3 linked regions of the Lepisosteus oculatus genome follow. The protein of the gene in region 1 purifies or fractionates together with the protein of each later gene. This does not show direct contact. Links are inferred from orthologs where the notes say so. Each region holds a gene or a part of one and is shown on either strand. Other genes may lie near its edges. The genes, in order: rack1, larp4ab and riok3.

Region 1 (7,515 bases):
ATGGGAGTTTGGGACAAGTTCCCTTGAAGAGCCATTAGCCATCCAACACGGTAGACGTGTCGCCTATAGACTGCAATCACTCCAATAGCCTGCAGTTTCCCCGGATCAGATGTAGGGTCCTAGTCTAGAAGGCTGTTTCCAGCTGGTCGACGAGTACCTTGACCATCTTGTCCCAGCCACAGGAGACGATGATGGGGTTACTGCTGTTAGGGGAGAAGCGCACGCAGGAGACCCATTCAGTGTGGCTTTCATCCTACAACACAGAGCATCAAAATGCAAGGGGTCAGTCAACCTCAATACCCACTACTGCTCTTCTGCTGCCCTCCGCCTTCATTGGAGCAAGTCAAGCTTTATCCCAGGCTGAAAAGAAAATGGACAACACTTCCGCCGTGGAGCCCTCTGACCTGCAGAAGGCGCCACAGTCGAAACGTCAAGTCCCTTTTCTTTTTCAGCCTGGAATAAACCTTTACTTGTTCTTCTGCAGCCTACGCACGCGGACACAGCTACCCACTTGAACTTCTCCTTCACGACTGTGAATTCCACTGCGTTAAGGCTAACAAACATCAAGGCCTCGCCATTTTATAGGAACAGTCCCCACAAAACAATGCAGAGCAGCTTTCGAGTTGAGAAACGCTAAAGCCTGAAGCCCGTTTCCGATTTCCACAACGTCCCGTCATAATTGCAGGACTTGTCGTCACGGCCACAAGGCTCGGACGATAGGACCGTGAGATGTGTAATCACTGGGACACGTGTGGAAACTCCCTGCGCTTTCGCCTCCCTGCACACAGTGACGGGGCAGGTGGCGAAGGCGAGCGCACATGCTGGCCGAGTGAGAGCGCTCCAGCGGGTCACGTCGAGCCTCCTGACCTGGATGGTGTACTTGCAGACTCCCAGGGTGTTCCACAGCTTGATGGTCTTGTCGCGCGACCCGGACACGATCTGCCGGTTGTCGGCGGAGAAGGCCACACTCAGGACGTCCTTGGTGTGCCCCACGAAGCGACGGGTAGTCGTGCCTCTGCAGACACACGCAAATTCTCAGTTTACAGACGGTTTTCCTGTTTACAGCTGATGTGCAATATATGCTGGTTTCCATTCCAGCCAGTGACACAATCAAACCCTTTGTTGACTTTATAATAAGATTAATTTGAACCGTTTATTCCCAGGTCTTAAACGTGTTGGAGCTTTAACCGTTATTATTTCGCAAGTGAAATAAAGTCCCAAACTCATGATGGAAAAACAAAATGCAAATATTCAAACAAAGGAACTTCTTAGGTCAATTAAGGCTTAAATTATCTAGTGCCCTGGCCACCCTCCCCCTTAGCCTTTACAATTCATGTCTTCCTAAAAATCCCCATCTTTGAACTGGCTTCACTCTGCTCTCCTCCCCACTGAGAGCTGGTGTGTAGCAAGAGTACTGGCGCTGCATCATTCAGGTACACATTGGTGGCAGCCGTGGGATTCTCCATTATCTGTAAAGCACTTTGACTGGAGTGTCTGCCAGGAAAAGCGCTATATAAGTGTAAGGAATGAATTAACTAATGAAGGCGGGATAGGATGGAAACCCACAGGTGTGTGGGTCACTAGGACTAGGGACCACTGGCTTAATGGGGACAAACACAGCCAGTCATTGAGCGTGTGGAGATAATTGCAGGGAAGGGCGTGAAAGAGCCACCCCACCAACCTAGCCCTCTCTGCGTCCGCGCTCACTCACGTTGTCAGGTCCCAGAGGCGCAGGGTGCCGTCCCAGGATCCCGACAGAGCGAACTGGCCGTCGGAGGAGATGACCACGTCGCTGACGAAGTGCGAGTGGCCACGCAGGGCTCTCTGGGGGATGCCGTAGTTGGTCTCATCGCGGGTGAGCTTCCACATGATGATGGACTTGTCTGGAGGCCCAAGCACAATCAAACAGGTACTCAGGGGAGGGAAGAGAGAAGGCCCTGTTGCCCACTAGGCACTGCACTGGTTTAAAATTAATCTTTTCATCCCTCATCTACTACTGACTACTGCTCAAGCTTCACCTCCCATCATGCGCCTCTGCAGAAGCAGGACATGTGGAACGGATGCCCAGCAGTGTACAAACTGCACTGAGTGTTGTCCACACGCTGAACTAACATTTCTTCAAAATGAACACCAGTGCCTTAACAGAAAGTGTTATTTCTAAGGACCGAACCCAACTCTAAGCAACGCATATCCCGCTTCAAATCAGATCCAAGCTTAAATTGCGCCTCCCAACTTCTTTTTCCTCCCGGCCTAGCAGAACATCAACAGCCCAGCGATCATCTCGCTAAGGAAGCACGTTACTGTCTACCGAGAACTACACGGCTCCGCTACCGACCACTCGTCTGACGCACTTCACACGTCGAGCCGGACAAAAAGCGCCTCAGCGCCACTGACCAGACCGGGAAACGCGCCCGGCGCCACGGCGGCCTTTCGGTCCAACGCCAAGATCTGCGAGATGCTGCCCTACAGCGCAGCCGGCCTACAAGCGCGAAGTGAACCGCTTGCACAACTCTGTCCTTCATCAGCAGAAACAAAAGATCCCAGCCTGTGCCTCACGACTTTCTGAAACACACGTGTCTGCCCCCTCTGACACTCGTACCTTCTCTCGGGTCCAGGCGTCACGTTTTAATGTTGCATTGCTTTAAAAAAACGATCTTGTATTTACTAAACGGCACGTGAAAATAATTTAAGCACTTTCCTCAATCTACTCTCATGTTCACGCATTATAACACGTTTTATGCTGTAAATCACGCTACCACGTAGACCACCGGAATAGCCAAGGCAATGATGGCGGCGGCCGGGTTACCTCTGGAAGCAGACAGAATCATATCGGGAAACTGCGGGGTAGTGGCAATCTGGGTGACCCAACCATTATGACCCTTCAGGGTCCCCCTTACAGTCATCTGCTCGGTCATTTTGGCGAAGATACACGGTGCCTTTCAGGGAGGATGGACTCAGATTGAGATCGGAGGCTACCGCCGCCCTGCTCCTCTCGCTTACAGGCACAGGAAAGAGGAAGACTCGACCCGGAAGCAGAACTAAAAAAGAGCAGGCGAGGGTCCGCGGTGCATTCTGGATACAGAGCTGCCGGGCAGCTGGAGCAGGGCCCGGCGCTGAGATTGTTTCCCTTGCAGTCGTCCTCGCCTGTGGCGAGTTAGGAATAATTTGAGCTGTAAATGTTTTTGTGTTGGTTTCACCCTTCCCGTTTAAAGATCTTAAGATGTTTTGTAGTTCTCTTCAAACATAAACAGTCAGTATTTAAGTCAGTGCAGCAGAGGTAGTGGGTTTTATTTTTTTAATTAAAAACATTTCAAACTCCTAAAATTGGACATTACAATGCTAAATTCTAACTAAATTAGAAAATTATTTAATTGAGTGTTTGATATTTTTCTCTAAAAAAAAAAAAATTGTTCCCGCCCGGTTTCGAACCGGGGACCTTTCGCGTGTGAGGCGAACGTGATAACCACTACACTACGGAAACTTAGTGCTGTTGTATTCGATATCAGTAGTAGATCACACTATTAATACAATTAATATCTTTATGTGATAACGTTTGATATATATATGGAATTTTTTTATCATACAATTCCGAAAAAACAATTACAGTATATTTTTAAATCTTTCTCAAAGGCATATTTATGAATGTTCTCAGATTTAACCTCTTCAAACACGGGACACTGAACCATTTTCTTATCATGGCACTTTAAAAAACGAAAAAAACTCAATCTTTTTGGAAATATATAAATTACAGAATTATCCTCAATCTTCTAAAACGTAAAAGTTGTGAAGTACAATTCAATGCAATTGACACAGCTGTGACGCGTCTAAGTGGTATATAACAGCATTACACTTCAGCAACGGTACTTAACAATTATACTTCTGGGGAAACGAGAACATTTTATAACGGTACTATTAAAAAAACATTAAAAACAAAACAGGCCTATATTTGAAATGTATATATTTGACAACGGAGCAACATACTCTACCGAGCACATTTCGCTGCTATTCAAGGTACTGGAGCTCGAACTGAGCTTCGAAATACGGTTCAAATTCAATTTTAAAAGCGCCTTCTACAAGGCTTCTCAGCAAAACAAACAAAAAAAGTGTTTCCGCCCGGTTTCGAACCGAGGACCTTTCGCGTGTTAGGCGAACGTGATAACCACTACACTACGGAAACCTCCTCGACTCTCCCTCCAACACTTTGTGCTACTGGTTTTATAGTTAATTTCCGATGAGATGTTCAAATGTTGCCTTCTATTCTCCCCCGAAAATCTATGTCACACCGGAAATTATGATGCCGGATCAAATTCATATTTCACACGCACGATTAATGTATTTCTTGTTTAATAGGAAGAGTTACTTCACATTCCATAGGGGTAATAAAATAAAAGCAGCTGTTCCCGCCCGGTTTCGAACCGGGGACCTTTCGCGTGTGAGGCGAACGTGATAACCACTACACTACGGAAACCCAGCTGTGGCACGAACTCTGCCCGAAAGGCTAAAGCTGTGTCTGGGGTCTGTATTAAATACCCCTTTATCGTCCCTGCCCTCGCTCCGTTGTTTGGACCTCGTTCGGATTATTACATTGAACACGACATTTTTTAAATAAGAAAACTACTGCTGGAGAGTTGCAAAGTCGGAACATAACTCCCATCTGTTTTAAATACAAGCCTTTTTCTACATAAGCATGGTGCTCGCTTTTGCACATAGACGAATATATAAAACCCTGTAACGCGTATCCCACTAGGGCTCAGACTAACCCATGTGATGGCTAGAGAATGTGGTATTATAATAATAATAATAATAATAATAATAATAATAATAATTGCTTACACTTATGTAGCGCTTTTCTGGATACTCCACTCAAAGCGCTTTACAGGTAATAGGGACTCCCCTCCACCACCACCAGTGTATAGGTATAGTAACACGTACAGAGCACGTTTCTACTTAACGCATGACTCGTTTTGCAATTATACATGTTAAATTTAATGTGCTTTAATTCTGCAAAATAAATGATTTCTGTCTCATTTTCACATCAGCGTTTCTACGTCCCATAGTTTCAGATTTAATTGTAAACTGAGCTAGTTTACTATCCATCCAGTTCAGGGTCACGGGGGAACCGGAGCCTATCCCAGCAAGCAACGGACAGAATATGGGGTACCGACTGGCCAGGACGCCAGTTTATCACAGGGCGCACACACACACTCGGACCAGGGCTTGTTTTACTTCTTTACTAACTAAACCGCAGTCTGAAGTGTTGCTCTAATCCAGGAGCGACAGCGGTACACCATCTGTCTCGATGAAGGTTTCGCCCGCTGAGACAGCTTCCTGCTTCCTGTTTTCCGCTCCACAAACCAACCCTCTGCATAGATTTGTGGCATCTGTATCTCAGCATGTTCATTATCTTTATTCTCTTGTAGCTCCTTTTACACTATCTATAAAGAGTTCTCTTCCTTCTTATTTAATAACCGTTTAGTCTGAAATGTCTTGTATATCCTTAAATAAGCACGTGTAAGAAGACATGTAGCACCGTGTTTACAGATTAGCATTACCGTGTTTTAGGGCTGGGGCCCTGGGTTCAATTTCTTTCTGCAGAGTTATACACTCTCCATACATGCCTTTTAGACTCCAGATTTTGACATTTAAAAAAAAAAAAACTCTATGAAAAGTTACCATATTGGGATCAGACTTTTCTGGGGGGTCCTGTTAATTCTGTTCTCTTCATTACATCCTAGCTGTTTTGAAAAGATAGACAAAGTAAGTCACGTCTGAGAGTCACGTCTTAAGAAGCTATTATTGACTACTCAAACCATGATCATTTCAGCTTCTTGATTCTGCACCACAATCCTCCAGTGTACAAGAGGAAAATTGAAATAATCAGGTAACACAACAGCACTTTTTCTACCTATCTTCCAGATTTTACCGCTCGGTAACCTGCTCGTTCCCATCTCAGCACAAGCCTATAGCTTTGACCACAAACGGATCCTATTTGTATGTTATGCAAACCATGACCATCTCTGTACCCTCTAAGGAGCTTTAAACTGCATTTTTACCTTTAGGAGCGGTCACTGGGAGAGGACGGAGACAGTGTGGAGACTCCAGTGCTCCCAGTTCCTGCAGTGTGTTGGACACTGGTGTTGCTGGGTCACTGGGAGAGGACGGAGACAGTGTGGAGACTCCAGTGCTCCCAGTTCCTGCAGTGTGTTGGACACTGGTGTTGCTGGGTCACTGGGAGAGGACGGAGACAGTGTGGAGACTCCAGTGCTCCCAGTTCCTGCAGTGTGTTGGACACTGGTGTTGCTGGGTCACTGTGAGAGGATAGAGACAGTGTGGAGACTCCAGTGCTCCCAGTTCCTGCAGTGTGTTGGACACTGGTGTTGCTGGGTCACTGGGAGAGGACGGAGACAGTGTGGAGACTCCAGTGCTCCCAGTTCCTGCAGTGTGTTGGACACTGGTGTTGCTGGGTCACTGTGAGAGGATAGAGACAGTGTGGAGACTCCAGTGCTCCCAGTTCCTGGAGTGTGTTGGACACTGTTGTTGCTGGGTCACTGTGAGAGGATAGAGACAGTGTGGAGACTCCAGTGCTCCCAGTTCCTGCAGTGTGTTGGACACTGGTGTTGCTGGGTCACTGTGAGAGGATAGAGACAGTGTGGAGACTCCAGTGCTCCCAGTTCCTGCAGTGTGTTGGACACTGGTGTTGCTGGGTCACTGGGAGAGGACGGAGACAGTGTGGAGACTCCAGTGCTCCCAGTTCCTGGAGTGTGTTGGACACTGGTGTTGCTGGGTCACTGGGAGAGGACGGAGACAGTGTGGAGACTCCAGTGACCCAGGGTTCTGGGACTGTGGCCTATCAGGTTCACAGATTCACTGGGTCGGCAAGGGCAGGGCTGGAGAGAGGCAGTATTGCTCTCCCAGAAGCTCCTGGTGAGACGATGCTGTTCTTCACCTGGAGAGCCCAGCCCAGGAAACTCGTTTTCTACCTCTTGACAGCTGAGGACGGGCCTGCAGTCCTCACTGCCTCTGTGCTGAGGGTCTGAGCTCCGGCTCTGCAGGAAGAAATCTGCAACCTGGCACCTGTGTGTACAAAGTGTGAACACCGGGTGGCGCTGTTTGTAGCCCCCACTAGCTGTCAGATCGCTAAATTCTGCCTCTACCTCTGACTCACACTGGTGTTATTTTTGCACACGGCTTGTGCTGATGTGCTGATTTGTATTTAAGTTGTATGTTATTTAACTTTGTTTTTGCTGCTGCTGTTTTGTGTTTGTATTTGTATTTCATTGCACTTGTGTCCTCCCACATATGATATGAATTGAACACACGGTCTTTAGATATTCATAAATCCCTACATTAGCCAGAGATCGTGCTCTCTAAACAACGTGAAACGTGTCTGTGGCAGATGGGAGAAAACCCTCAGGATCACATGTGGAACATGCAAACTCCACACAAAAGGATTGCTGGTCCAGAATCAAACCCAGGGCCTGGTGCTGAGAGGCAGCAGCACTGATCATCACACCA
Region 2 (7,371 bases), on another chromosome or scaffold:
AACAAATGAAGGGTAGACTAAAGCTAATATTTCGTCACCCCATTTCGGCAGATGAATATCTGTTTACCTATGGTGTATTTTGTACACAGAAAGACAGTATTTATAGTACAAAGCTCTGAGGTTTACCTTGTTTAGTTTACTTGGTCCACTTTGAATCAGTCCTGTTCAACATGAATGAAAGCATTGCATTCCCCGTACTGTCATTTTTGTTCTGGGACAGACAAGATAAAATGTATTTAGTGGTAAAGTTTTGAATAAACAGAGCGGTGTTGTCCTTAGTGTTCTTCGCCCGCTTTGAGTTGCGCTTGCTCGGCATGAATGAACACGATGTGTCACTACTTTTGTGCAGGGAGAAACAGGATGCCATTCAATTTCATCAAACTGCGAGTGGAAAGCGAAACATTCTTTAAAAAAATTCTCTGGCGACGTGCACTTAGCCACTGGAAAAGAAGCAGCAACAAGAGAAAGCATTTTGACAGTCAGCCGTGTGACCAGCGAGTGACATCTTGCAAGGGTGTCCTATTACCCTTTCTATAATGGTGCCCCTCGAATCTTTGCTGCACTACGTCACAGAACTGCGGACTTAAACGAAGGGCTTAGGACTTAGTGCGGCATCTGGACAGAACTTGAATGACATTGGCCATTGAAAAGAGATTTTACCCTAACAGAATATTTTCTCAGGGGTCGGAGGATTTGAAGTGCATACCCATCTTTTCTCTCTGACTCGCCCTCTATCCCTCTGACTGATTCACATTCTCCTTCTCTCTCCTTCCTCCTCCAGCTGTGATCGAGGTGATGAGCGTGAAGATCCAGCAGCTCCAGACCCTCCAGGCCTCGCAGTCCGGCACCACCAAGGCCTGAGCAGACTGGGGGTGGTGGTGTGAGGGTGCAGGGGCGGGGCGAGGAGGAGAAGGGGGGGGGGGGAGGAAGTCATGAGGGCAAAGCGGAGCCTGAGCTATGGGGGGTAAGAATGATATCCAGCGAGGGAAGGGGGGGAGCTTGATTTGGGTACCCCACCTTTGTCCCAGGACACGGCGGGGATGGGAGAGAGGGGAGGGCCAGGCCCAACGCCTGTGATAACACTGGAAGATGCCAACGCAGCATTGGTCCCTGGAGATCTCGAACCTCGAGCCGCGATGCAGGATGTGGGCTGGGCATCTGGACGCTCTCCTGCACAGTGGCCATCAAGAGCGACAAGTGGTGGGATTTCTGCTTCAGAAAGATAACCAGCTGTCAGACCATTCACTCTTGCGTTCCTTCTTAATGAGTGAATGTTTTACATCTGTCAACAATTGTTATGACGTTCTCCTGGTTTCAGATGTTGTTTTAGTTTGGGTATATTTTCTTACAGGTCCCCAACAGAGAGGCGCAGTTTTATACTGTTTGCCTTTGTGAAGTCAAGCTAACTTTAAATTAATTGCTTTCTTGTCTGTGGATTTATGTAAAGCAAGTTTTTTTTTATTGTCTTCTATGCTGCTGCCCCTTGAAACAATAAAGAAGGCTCTGATAATACCTTTGCAATATTATTTTATCTCATCCATCCATTTTCTAACCACTTCCGGTTCAGGGTCATTGGGGAGCAGAGGCCTGTCTTGGCAAGCAAATGGTGCAAGGCAGGACACGCTCTGGAAGAGACACCAGTCCATCTGAGGGCACACACAGACACACACACCAGGGCCAGTTTCCCACAAGCCTAACAGTATGTCTTTGGACTGTGGGAAGAAACCCATGCAAACATTGGGATACATGTAAACTCCTCACAGATAGCACTCCAGGTCCAGAATTGAACCCAAAGCCTAGCACTGCAAGGCAGTAATGCTAACCACTGCACCATCGTGCTGCCCTTGTTCTATCTCATTCTTCTCTTATTGTCTATCCAACTTAAATCCATCTCAACAGCCAAAGCCTGGAAAGATGCTGTTATGGGATCTTAATGACGCAATTAAGAACACAGAGTGACACGAGCATGCAGGTCTTCATTCCCTTGTGTGTCTATTTTCTGAGGATAAAGAACAATCCTTTTATTAAATTATTACTTTTCTATCTTGCAGCTAATACTGAAATAAAGCCTCAATGAGCTCTGTGTCTATGGGAATGTTTTCTCCCATGATTCCGTAACTGCACTTGTGCTAGATTTTATTCCACATCCTCTCCAGTGGGATGACACAGGTGTTTGAATGGGCCAGCTAACCTTGTGCATGTACATGTTCCAGTAAGACCGTGCTGGCATGTTGTATTTATCCTGGGGCTCCCCAGTCCCTGGCCTGATACCCCACTCTCTGCTGGGTTTCATTCCAGTCAGGCTCTCAGTTGTTTAATACTTCTTTCACTGAGAGATTGACTTCTGCTTCTACAGAGCACTTTTTAAAGTTCTTTTCAACTCTAGGTAAAATTAAAAGCTCTGGCAGTTACTGAGTTGAGAACATGTCTAGTAAATTGCTCATCCAGTCCTGTGATAAGTGAAGACCTTAAAACAAGCAGAAGGTGGGGTCAGCAGGACCTGGATTATGGAGTCCTGCTCTTAATGTCCATCTAATGATTTCCTGAAATCCCTTCGTGTTTGAGTAAATATGTGGAATCACTGGTTCAGTGTTTAGGCATTTTCTAAGATGTTTGATTTCCAATTCTTGGCGCAACACCTGGAACAGTTTAGATTTGTGGCTGGGGCTCTGGATAAACTGTGAGGTTATGGGTTTTAGTCCTCTCTCTGGATACCACTATTTTACCCTTCATCAAGCCCCGATCCTGGGAGATCACTGTCTCCTCTGGCCGAGTGCTTAATTTCAGTTTTCTATTTAAAATGTGCTTTCAGCTCTTAATAATTTGGAGCGGTATCTGTAAGTGGTATTGGTCCTGTACCTCTTCAGGTGGCTGGACTGGAACCATCTGGACCTCTGCTGGCTAAGGGTGTGTGAGCTGCAGGAGCCTTCTTTGGGTGTAAGAAAGATAGGGCAGTCAGCAAAGATAATATAGCATGAGAAAACAAAAGCCAGGAGAGAGGAGGAAGTGGGAAGTTGTATCTTGTAGTTGTATTACTTTTCCGTGGGAAGGTGGAGCAATGATTAGCATTGTTGCCTCACACAGCTGGGGCCCTGGGTTCAATCCTCAGTTTGTATGTTCTCTCAGGTTTCCTCTGGATGGTGGAAATGGCTGGTAGTCAGTCATGACTTACATGAACTGTTGAATCTCTAGATTTCATGAAAATAACAGCATGACTCTCAAGGTTGTCATGTTTCCCCACAGTGAATGCCTAGACAAAAAATATTTACAACACCTTTCTTCCCTCGTGTCTTGCGGGTAGGGGCTCCCCTCATACTTTTATCCCTGAGGACAGGGGGGTTGTGGGAATGTGAGCCCAGAATCACAACTAAAAAATTGGCCTATTTGTATGATACTCAGCTGGCAGCCTTGCTGTACATATTTAGATAAAGCGTAGTGACTCCCTGGCTTGAGCAGTGTTTGGGAAAGTGCTGGGGAAAGTAATCCAGCCCTCATTTTCTAGCCATGTCATCCAGTTTAGGGTCGGGGGGGGGGGGGAGCCGGAGCCTATACCAGCAAGCAATGGTTGCAAGGCAGGGTATACCCTGGACAGGACGCCACACAGACACACCAGGGCCAGTTTTCCCAGAAGCCAATTAGCCTACTAGCATGTCTTTGGACTGTGGGAGGAAACCAGAGCACCTGGAGTTCTCTTTAAATCACCAACTTCTCAATAACAAGAACATTCTTCAACTTGTCCAATTAATCGATTAATAAGTTAAATTTAATAATTAAGGACTTGGGTGGCAGGGCAACCAGACCCTCCAGTCCTCTGGGACTGGAACTATGCTCTCCTGGTTTAAGGATTATATAACAGTAGTTTTGTTTAAAGTACTTTATCATTAATTTTTACTGCAACTTTCACTTTCCTATTTTATTGTGAAGGCCAGGAAAAAGTGGTCAGTTTTGGAATTAAATTTGATGTGAGCGTAACAGTGATGTTCAGTCCTGGTTCTAGAGGGCTGTAGTCCATGAGGTTTAATGAGAAACGTACAGCTTACTCAATGAGTAAAAACCTGGAAACAGGCTTGATACAGACTAGTTAAGGGAACAAATTATTAAAATCCAGTCATTAAGAGTCAGGGAAGAAAAAAACCCGGGAGAAATGGCGGACCTGCAGAAGAAGAAGCGAAAATCAGTGATCTTATGTTTGGCTTATGTCAGCGCTCCTCTGTTGCCATGCGCTGTTGCTATGCGGAAAGGAGTTGAGATGGTTGCTATGCGGCGCAATGAATGTTGCGCCGTTGCTAGGAGCTGCGATGGGGAAGGGAAAGGGAGGGAAGAGAGGGTGAGAGGTCGCGCTGCTTGCCGGGACGTTGGCGGTGTGCTGTCAGACAGTGGCGCTCCGGAGAGGTGCGTGTCCCCAGTGCCCGCTTCGGTTGTCCGGCTAGGAATGCGCTCTCCGGCTCGCTGATCGCTAGTAAATTAAAAAGATACTCATCGCAAAGCTACAGATTATCGTAAAAGCATCTTAGCTGGTTGCGGTATCTATTTTGTCTTATTTTTTTAATCGTAAAGCGAAAGGGGTTGTACAAAACGCATCGCTGATCTAGAAAGAGAAAGCGCTTGTTGCTTTTTCATCACCCGGTGAGAGGTGAGGAGGAGGAGGAGAGAGGGGGGAGAAGGAGAGAGAGCGGCGGGGTTAGCGGAGCGCCAGGAGCGGCCCATGAGTTCGGAGCAGGGCGGAGACCCGCAGAAGCAGCAGGAGGCCGAGCCGGGACCGGAGACCCGCCGAGGGGAGAGCGAGAGCAGACCCGAGGCCGGCGGAGACGGAGGCGGCATGGTGAGTTTGGGGCCTGTGGCTGGCTGACTTAGCACAACCTCCACCCCCCCCCCTCCTCCTCCTCCTCCTCCTCCTCCATGCCACAGCTCCGTAAAACCCGGTGTGATCCGCGATTTTTCAGAACCGCAGTTTCTAAAGATAGAAGCCAATTAACTGTGTTAGTAGCAAATACTGTTTTTCTAGTTCGGTTTTTCCCTTATCCGGCAGAGCGAGGCTTTATTTCCATTGTCCTTGTTCTTGATGTCTTTGACTTATGTTCGGCAATGAATTCCGGTCTTTTGAATGATGTGCTGCAGTTGCGTGTAGATCTGATCCGAGATAGGGCATGATGGTGTCGTTTATTTACAATCGTCGATCAGACAGGAGAATTTATAGATGTGTTGCGTATATTTATATAAAAAAAAGCCCCAGTCGAAGGGGCTTCTGCAATATTTAACCCCCTGCGCATGTGAATGGATGACACCGGCAGTGTCGAGTGACAGCATGCTTGCTAGCCGACTAGCTTCCCAACTATTTTAGGTATTTACTTTAAGGATATTGCTGCTCTGACACAACTCTCGTTATTTTCCTCGTGGTTTGCAGTGAACATACTATCCTTTTGGTGTTGTTTTCAGTTCTTAGGTTTTAAAAATAAAGCTTCTCGTCCGTCCCGGCGGTGTCCATATGGCGCCGCAGGCGGGGCCTAGCTGGCTCGGAGGACGCCTCGGCCCATCTTAGCCCTCGCACACGCCGCATTCGTCCGCCTCGCTCCCAATGAGACAACATAGGAAAACACCCTCCCGCGCTGCCCACACGCGTGGAACGGAGGCCAAAATGCCTGCATGTGAAGACCTGAGGGGACTCAAACGGTCGTTTTGTCGAATTTTGCTTCTGTTAACTCGAGCGAAGGAGCCATATGTGTGCGGGGACGGCGTGATTGCAGACCGGGGCAGGGGGAGGAGGAGTGGGGTGTTGTGGGGGGTGATAAAATTAGTTCCTCTGGCAGCGTTGCCGGGCTGTCTGAGTCGCTCAGGAGTGTGCCGATAAAAGCGACAGGGCAGCTGTGGCACAGCTCGTGAGAGGGACAGTTCTGGCATTAGATAAGCCACCTCCCCATTCATTAGGGTCAAACACGTCTAAGGACTAACCTGACCTGCGTCAGGCCTGCCCCTTGCCTAGGCCTCTGTCTGTAGGTCAAAATAATCAGGCTGTGCTTTTAAAAGGGGAAGTTCTCTTTTCTTAAACGACTGTAATTTACCGAAATTTACAAACATGCATGAGGTATTTGAATTATTACTGAATACTGACAGCATTTCCGTAGGTGGAATCCTCCATTTAAAGAAATAACGTGCTGACTGAACAGTCCTGTTTGCCAGCTGTGAAGTGACTCAGTGCCAGGGAACCCGTGGAAGGATGGGCCTGTAGAGCAGGTTTAGGTGTGAGTGGTGATCACTGGGGCAGTTGATGGTAAAAGGCTCCTACAGCAGGCAGACTGTCACTAGCACAAGGGTCTCAGACTCCGTTCCTGCTGTGCTTCGTCTCCTGGTTTTTGTTCCAACCTGACTAGTCAATTCAACAATTAAATAATTATTTTCCAAATGAGATAGAAGTTTTCTTAAGGGCTCTTACATTCGATTACTCTCGCTCGTCTTCCGTCTACTGTCCCTCCTCTCATCTGTAGTGGTTTAAAATGACCAGGTGCAGTTTGACTAAACCATCGAGTCTGGTCAGCGATATTGTGTTCGATGCAGTAATATTCCCGTCTGCTGCTGTACTTTGCCAGTGCAGCAGGTTATATAGCTCATCGTTAATTGATCAGTCTGTAAAGACAAGGAACAGTTAGTATTGTTATCCGTTCAATGGGCGATTTGTTCAATGAAGTATTGAAGATAACTTGAAATACAAATCTGAATACGCCTCAATCTTGGATGATGGGCTCTCTTGAATACATTGCTTGGCGTAATTGCTAAGTAACTTCCAAGCACTTCTTATTTTTTAAAAACACAGGTGATTTGGGGTGACCTTTAAGACTAACTGGACTGCTGCATGTCCAAGAGAAGTGGTGGGGACCCCTGGCTGTACGTCAGCCAGTTCTTACCAGTTAGAAGTTGTCGGAAACTCGGAGAGCAACTATTTAAAAGCAGAGTGAAACAGGTATTGTATCTGGTACATGTGTTTGAAGTAATGTGCACAAGGAAGAAGACTTCTGAAGCAAACATCAAAGTGCAGAACACAGTTAGAATCATGTAAATGGACTTGAGTAAGCCTTTCTGCTCTCCCACTTTGAAGATTCCCGACTCCGTGTTCTAATGCAGACTGAAGACACACTAGTCCTTTCCCAGTCAGTGTTCTTACTTTGCTCCCCTATTCCTGGCAGTTCTGGGGTCTCTGCTTCTCACACATCTCTCTCCATTTATATCTATGCTCTTTAAGCCTTCCAGTGTGCGCTTGTCTGAGTGTACCCAGTTACGGAATTGCATTTAAATGGTTTCTTGTCATTGTTTTTTTGAGGATTCTGTAAATAAAACAGGGCTTCTGACTGGGCTTTCATGAAACTTGAGAGAAAGACA
Region 3 (7,737 bases), on another chromosome or scaffold:
TAGAAGCTTTTGGTTTGGTCTGAGCAGTGGTTCATAAGTGGATTTTAAAAGAGTTTTTGAACATACAGTCCAGGCCACTATCTTGTCTGATGCAGGATCTCCAATTAAGGCTGCTTATTTAATCGCATTTCCATCCCACTACACCTGCCTAGCATGACATTGCTCACGGCTTCAAAACACAAGTGGGAAGAAAAGAAATCCTCCCTTTCAGTAGGAAGAACAGAACATGAGAAGGAATCTGATCGATCTTGTTCGGTGGACTCACTCCGGGCAGCTGGGGTAGGTCGAGAACTCCTCATTGAGCTGTATCGCCAGCTGCTCGCTCATCACATCAGCCAGGGAGCAGGGATTTACCACACTGTTAGGGGCTCCCCATGGGCTCTGAGGGGAGAAAAAGAATGAAATGGAGGAACTGTAAAAACATCATTCTTCCATCTCGGAAATATCTGCACGCTCCGTATTTTGTTGTCTCTTGACTGTTGCTGAAAAGCTTGTCAATGTATTTGTCTTCTCTTGCGTTGATTACCGCAGTGCCCTACTCGCTGGAGTACCCAAGCCCAGTCTGAACAATCTCCGGCATGCCCACAATTCAGCAGCCAGACGCCTGACCAGTTCCGCTGCAAGGGATCACATTACTCCTATCCTGGAGTCCCCGCACTGGCTTCCTGTTAGGTTCTGCGCCGACTTTAAAGTCCTCATGCTCACCTATAATGCTCTGCATGGCTTGGCACCTCAGTACCTGTCTGACTCATTATCTGTCTACTCCCCACCTCACAGTCTTTGTCCGACTCTGGTCTCCCCTCTGTTCCCCAAGCTCATCTTCACACCATGGGTGACAGGGCCTTCTCCTGCTGCACCCCAGAGCTCTGGGACTCTCTCCCCCAGGATATCAGAGAGTCAAATCCAGACCCAACCCTTCTCCGGAAAGGCTTTTTACTCAACTGATGTCTGCGTCTGCCCCCGTCTGTCCCTTTGCATCTTCAACCAGACTCAAAACCCTTGTTTTTAAATGTACTAACTTTTTATCTCATATCAGTGTTCTTTTTTTTCTTACTGTAAAGCGCTTTGAGAAGGTACTTTAAAAGGCGGTATCTACATTTTTTTAGGATAATAATCATGAAAAACAGGGATTGGAGATCTCATACCAGGCTGCCATTTTAGAATTTTCCTATCCGAAACATCCCACTCGAATCACGTTTATGTAATGACTCATAGTCGCGCAGCAAGAAACTATTCATGCAGGTACTTATATACCAATGTCCCTGCCAGCTACACCCAGAAGGGAAATTCTGTATGACTTATTGTTTGCAAACGTGTCGGTCTCGGACATTAGTCTATAGAGTTACAGAAGGCCTGTGCTCATTACACTGTCATTACTGGCTTTTATCTCTGTGGAGACAGTGTACTTTCCTGCAAGAGACCGGTGAGTCATTCCCGAAGGCAAAGGTCCTCAGTCAACAGTTCACCGCTAATTTCATCACAGAACAGTTTTTGGTAACTTCTTGCTCATTAATTAATCAATCATTACAGAAAATTTTTGAAGTAGATTTATCAAGTCGTATTTAAGCACACTCGGAGCCTGATACACGAGATCTGATTCTGAACATTTTGCTTTCTGGAAAGTCCTTACTTCTTCCTTCCCAAAACTGCACTGGCTGGCAGCTGAGTGGTACAGCGCCATCTGGAGGAAGGTTAGGGAAGCAGCACTTCATTGGAGATCTGTTCTATTATGGTGTTATCAGCATGAGAAACAGGCATGCACAGCAGAAACAGGGGGCGATTCACCAATGCTAATAAGGATACAAAAATAAGACGACTTGCCTTACACAGTGGGGCGCTCAATTAGAATAGTAGCCAAGTACACAGGTTTTCTACACCTTATAGCTTGTTTTAAAAAAAGAGAAGCATTTTATACAATAAGAAGTATTTAGCTTTTACGAATGAAATAGTTACTCAGAAATATGATTAAGAAGACTGAGGTTTGAACGTTCTTGTGCAAATGTTGGTGCTACGTTTTAAAATAAAAGAATCATGTTAAGATATCTTTTCTGGGGAAAATAAGTATTGAGCAATATGGACACTTACGAAAGTCTATAACATTACACAAGCAGCGTTTTACAGTTTAAGGCATTGCAAGGGTTACACCAGTAATATAACTCGCAGGCAGTTTTGTGAATTTAAGTGAAGAGACAGCGGATCTGCTCTGAAGGGCTTACATTACATCACCCTGCTCCACTATGACGTCATCGAAACTAGTCGCTGGGCCACTCCGCTGCTTTCCCGATTCTCTCATGTTTCCCGACTAGGGACACAATTTGTAAATAGAAAAATAGAAATAAAAAAAATCTGTATGAAGCCTCAGGTCCTTGAAGGAATTAAGCTGAACGGAGTTCGGTTTTTAACGACCAGATCTCGCGTGTGTTTCTTATATAGGACTGGACATGTATATTCCGGGAGGGATAATTTCTGTAGTAGTTTTTATCATTATATATCGATAACATTTTCTAATGACATTTTAGTGTCAAGCAAGAATATTAACAGAAGCCGGTATAGTGTGAAACTCCTAACAGCGCTGACGTCAGTGGCTCGTCTTCTGCACTAGGCTAGGCCCCGCAATTCAGACTTGTATGCTGAATAAAATAATTTTAAAAAATACTGACCTTGGGTTTCCACACGGAATCAGTCTCGTTTTCTTTGGCAGCTACTCCTATTTGATCCATTTTTCCCCAACCAGCGAAGTGCGCAGTTTGTTCTCGGATAAATAAATAGTTAATAAATATGCCCAGTACTGTAGTAAACACGAGTCAATGACAAGTCTGGGCAAGTTGAACACCAAACAGCAGCTCTGTGAACCGAGTTCGCGTCACCAGAAAGAAAAACAAGGTATTATAAAAAATATAATTCTTGACTTCGACTAAACGGTGGTCGCTGTACAAAAATATATACCACGACACGTGGTAGAAAATTATAATAAAAATAGAGATGACCTGCCAAAATTGGCAAATAAGCAGAAGTGTTCGAGTACCACCGATACGGCGGAGCTAAATGGCTGAACTGCCTCGCCTGTGCAGAGGCGCTCGGCACCAGCTGATACTGCAGGGACACTCTCTTAAAGACGCAGCTCGTTTTTTTATTATCCTCTCACAAAGACACTTTCCCTAAAGCCTTCCTACTTGCAGTGTGTAGGTAGGCGACCCTTTTCTTTGAGCAAGAAGTCATCTTGATCGTGCATCTCTTCACGATTTAGCTGGGGTTCGCTAGTGATTTCTTACAAACGCCCAATAAGCGAAGGATATTTGAGTATCAAATCTAAAACATTTAAAATGTGTGCGCTGTATTGCCATCAGAATTGAAATACGAGGGCCACAGTGTTTTGACACAAGTTATCCGCTTCCAATTCAGTTTCTTAAGCAGCGTGTGATCTGTTTTCTGAACGTCTGTTATTCTGTTTATTTTTTAAAGGATTGTGCAACCGTGTATTGCCACAGGCAAACAGACTTCTGGACCTACCAAGAATGCAGTTTACTTTATTTGAAACGGGACAGTATTGATGTGGCAGTCCCTTAGAGCTTTTTGGCAAGGGAAGAAAGTTTAAAAACTGTTTAAAATGTGAGTATTCTGAGTTTCATCTTCCTGTAAAAAGTGTCAGGGTAGCCGTAAATACTGTATCTTAAATACTAAGACTGTCAGACTGGCCCAACCACTACTGATTCTGCTCAAGGAGTGTGTAGTATAAGCTATGGCTATTTAGTGCAGCTTCCAGTCCTAACGAACAGCTATTAATATCTGCGTAAATAAATTGCAATGTCCGCTTCTAGAGGGGTCGATTTAGTATGATTATTAAGTTATCAGCTGTATTGGCTATGATTTGGCTTGGGATTGTTCAAAAAATTCTCACTGCTTTTAGGTGAGGTACATTTACTTATTTTTCAACCTTTAATTACCTGTTTTACTGAAGATACAGAATATGTGTATTTAATGTGATGCACACTTTGAAAATATAAAAAAACTGTTTTCTAGAGTGTATTACTGAGAGTACATTACTCAGTGTATCTTGTATTTCAGTTCCTATGATTGCATCAGTTTGCATTTAGCTAGTGTTCCCCTGAGAGCAGTTCACTTGTTAATGATGAGATGTTTTATGATATCATAATAGATCCCATTAACTTTGCTCTTAAAGCTTACAGCATTCCAGTCTGGCTCTAATTGCAGTGATTATATAGTTTTTTAGAAACACAAAAAATATATATTTTGTTACCTGTTTTAAATACATTTTTATCATATTTCTAAAACATAATGTACAACACAAATACAAACTGAAACGAAAGAAACGTAAAGAGATAGTATACTATTTTAACAGAATTTATCATTTAAGATAAGCTTTTGTCCAGGCAGAGACCATTTTTAATGGAATCCCAGTCTTCTCCCAACCAAACATTTTTTTTTTTTGGCTGCAACAATGCACCAGCAAAAGACATCTTACCTGTCTGGGAGATGTCAGTGAGTAGGAGTTGTCAGGGGATCATACTGTAGGTGTGGACATACCAGTAAGATCCAATACCAGAACTTTTTCATACAGTCAAATATCCCTTAAAAGCGCTGTTTTCACAACATGTGAACAGGTGCTCACACCCTGAGTTCACCTAAAGAAGAGAGGGCCATGAGCAATCTACACGTTGAGCTGTTTGGTGTTGCAAGTACCGCATGTACAACTTCAGCACAGAGCAGCTAGTGTCCTACATTTTTAGAAGAAGAAAAAGTACCTCCCCGAACTATATCCCAGTCAGGGCTTTCTACCAGTTTATTTTCTGTATGCGGTGTATTCAATTTTATCATTTAAGTCCTGTAATGGAGATTGGCCTGTAATCTACAGCATATTCTCTCTGCAAATTTGATCATTAATAGGGGACATGCTAATGCCCACATAAATGATAATGATAATAATGTTTCTTTATTAGCCCTATACAATTTCTTGCATTAGGAATGCGTCTTTTCGCATACCCCAGCTTTTTCTCCAGGGAGACACAGACACAGAGACAGGGAGAGAAGCTTGGGGTCAGAGCGCAGGGTCAGCCATTGTACGGCGCCCCTGGAGCAGTTGGGGTTAAGGGCCTTGCTCAGGGGCCCAACGGAGTAGGATTCCTCTGCCGGCCGCGGGATTTGAACCGGCAACCTTCCGGTCACAGACGCAGATCCTGAGCCACAGAGCCACCGCTCCGCCCTAAGGAATGTGACCTAAGGAATGTGACTGAATAGGGAAATTAGATGGAAGAGAAGTTGCTCTTGCTGCAGAATTCAAAGGCTCACGAACTGATACGTTACATCTGTAATCAGAGTTTTTTACCCAGAATATTAAAGGATGTGGTGCAGTTGAAGTTGAAGTTCAATGAGTTGAAGACATCATTTATATTTAAATAAAGGGGATTTTATTTTGGTTTTGCTTGCACCAGTGGGTAACTGTTTGTTTTTTGTTGTTGTTGTTGTTGTTGTGGTTTTCCTTCTTCAGAGTGGAAGGAAGATGGCCACCCTGATTCTACTCCTTATCTCGCTGTGGATGGGAGTGGCGGCAGAAGGGTGCCCTGCGGGCTGCGTCTGTTCCCCCGCTGTGACCGACTGCAGCAGAGCTGGCCTCAGGAACCTTCCCTGGGACATTGCACCCCAAACAGAGACTCTGTTCCTGTCTGACAATCAGTTAACCAGCATCCTGAAGGGGGCTTTCAGAAACCTGACAGCCCTGACCTTTCTAGGCTTATCCAGGAATAAGATCTGCCCTGAGAATGATACTTTGGAGAGTCTCATCAACCTCCTCTCCTTAGATGTGTCTGAAAATGACCTCCAGTCGATACCCATTGGTTTTCTTCAAGCACCGTTTAAAATGGTCTGGATAAACCTGGCAAAAAATCAGCTGAAGACCCTCCCCGATGGAACCTTTGCAAAACTACAAAGCCTCACTTACCTTGATCTTTCAGACAACTCCATGCTGCTACACAACAATATATTTGAAGGTCTTGCACGTTTAAACACACTGATTCTATCTGGTAACAGATTAACAACTATACCATCACAATTATTTGATCCAACACCCAAACTTCAGATACTGGATTTGTCCAATAATGCCCTGACACATTTACCTACTAGGTTATTATACCACCAACATAACCTGTCTGATCTGATCCTCAATAACAATAGATTTACTCAGTCTGTATTGCCAGCCCTAAGAGGTTTAAGGAACCTAAGGTTTCTGTATCTGTCAGGGAATAGCATTTCATCATTGCCACCATTTCCCTTCATTAATCTGTCTCATCTCACAAAGCTCACTCTGTCCAATAATTCTTTATCGAAGCTTCCGGATGGATTCTTGACAGGTTTATACCAACTCACAGTGCTAGACCTGTCAGGCAACTCTATATTTTGGCTGCCGAGAGATGTTTTTCAGAATAACACTGCACTGGAATACTTGTATTTGGACAGAAATGACTTCTCGAAGATGCCCATGCTTCTGGGGCTGCAGAACGTGCAGGAGTTAAAGATTTGCTGCTGTAAAATACACCTCTGGCCAGCTGAGGTCTTTATAAGTCACATGGAGGATTTAGAACTCTTGGATCTGTCAAGCAATTTCATAGCAGAAATGGACTTTGATCTTCTCAAGAGTAATCTCAATTTAAAGAAAGTGCTGATGACCAACAACCCAGTGTGTTCCACTGTCTCCTCAAAGTTATCTATAGTTCCTCCTGTGACATGCATCTGACAAAGGCTACTCAATGTAAAATGATGTGGGGGTGATGAATCTGACGAAGCCTTGTTGTCAGATTTGTCACTGGGGCTTTGTCTGTATTCTTGGGAAACTTTTTTTGACAATTCCCCTTGAGTCAGAAAAATGCCTTAATTGCACCAGTACTTTTCTGTTTGTATAAAGGACTTCTTAATTCTTAACAAATCATTTTAGAACTGAGCACGCAATGCTTTAGGTTAAATCTATGAAAGCCAATGCAGATTTTCTGCTATTCACACGGCTACACATCATCCATGGTAAAAATTTATAATGTGTCATATTTGTGAAATGATGATTTTCTTCAACATAATTTTCTTCCTTTTAGCTGTGGGTTCAGCTAAGTGACAGAGATATCAGATACAATACAAACTCTTCACCTATGTGGTCTTGGAAAACAGAAAATGTCCAATCACTTTTCTTCAACACTCAATTAAGCTTAGATTTTAATTTGGAATTCAAATTCAATTTTATCATTTAATCAACCCTATCATGTCGTACTGTGCTTTCTAGTATTTCAATAGTTGTGTGAGCCCAATTAACCTGCTGTATGTCTTTACCTGCTGTAAAGACAATTCATTGCCAGCAACTACTGCTGCAAGTTGTATTGTTGTGCATTTGATAAATAAACTTTGATTGACTTTGATTGTATGTGTTACAGCATTTTGGTGCTCCGTGTGAGAGGGGTGCCTGTCTCTTTAAGGGGTCAGTTCCTTCAGGAGTAGCTGGTGTTGGATTGGAGCAATCTCTGAGCAACGTGTCAGACATGGCTGCGAGGTACTCAGGCGAAAAAGATTTGGTAGAAACAGGATGACAGACATCGCTGGACTGAAGCAATAGTTTTATCTTGGCAAATGTGGAAGAGCATTGCACTCGGTCTTAGCTTTTGCCTTTTCTACTTGGTGTCGTGCTTCACAAACAAGGTGAGAGACTATTGTTTTGTTTTACCTATTGCTTCCGTCTTGAAA

The links.
Region 2: the proteins of rack1 (region 1) and larp4ab purify together in Homo sapiens (affinity purification with mass spectrometry; 3 studies listed by BioGRID and IntAct, counting the BioPlex papers as one, with this or other methods). This does not show direct contact. The link is inferred for Lepisosteus oculatus from reciprocal best matches to the Homo sapiens genes RACK1 and LARP4.
Region 3: the proteins of rack1 (region 1) and riok3 purify together in Homo sapiens (affinity purification with mass spectrometry; 3 studies listed by BioGRID and IntAct, counting the BioPlex papers as one, with this or other methods). This does not show direct contact. The link is inferred for Lepisosteus oculatus from reciprocal best matches to the Homo sapiens genes RACK1 and RIOK3.

What each region holds. Positions count from the first base shown.
Region 1 is NC_090706.1:29,977,847-29,985,361, reverse strand, and holds the start of rack1 (small ribosomal subunit protein RACK1), read right to left. Parts: upstream 3,025-7,515; 5' UTR 2,916-3,024; coding exon 2,807-2,915; intron 1,884-2,806; coding exon 1,712-1,883; intron 1,016-1,711; coding exon 868-1,015; intron 254-867; coding exon 158-253; intron 1-157. UniProt on the Homo sapiens protein: Scaffolding protein involved in the recruitment, assembly and/or regulation of a variety of signaling molecules. Interacts with a wide variety of proteins and plays a role in many cellular processes.
Region 2 is NC_090696.1:20,590,431-20,597,801, reverse strand, and holds the start of larp4ab (la-related protein 4), read left to right. Parts: upstream 1-4,353; 5' UTR 4,354-4,705; coding exon 4,706-4,822; intron 4,823-7,371. Other genes in the region: pfdn5 (prefoldin subunit 5), read left to right, coding at 782-861. UniProt on the Homo sapiens protein: RNA binding protein that binds to the poly-A tract of mRNA molecules. Associates with the 40S ribosomal subunit and with polysomes. Plays a role in the regulation of mRNA translation.
Region 3 is NC_090701.1:57,816,178-57,823,914, reverse strand, and holds the start of riok3 (serine/threonine-protein kinase RIO3), read right to left. Parts: upstream 3,065-7,737; 5' UTR 2,721-3,064; coding exon 2,661-2,720; intron 1,692-2,660; exon of another isoform or gene 1,633-1,691; intron 382-1,632; coding exon 266-381; intron 1-265. Other genes in the region: leucine-rich repeat-containing protein 15-like, read left to right, coding at 5,519-6,748; UDP-N-acetylglucosamine transporter TMEM241 homolog, read left to right, coding at 7,624-7,692.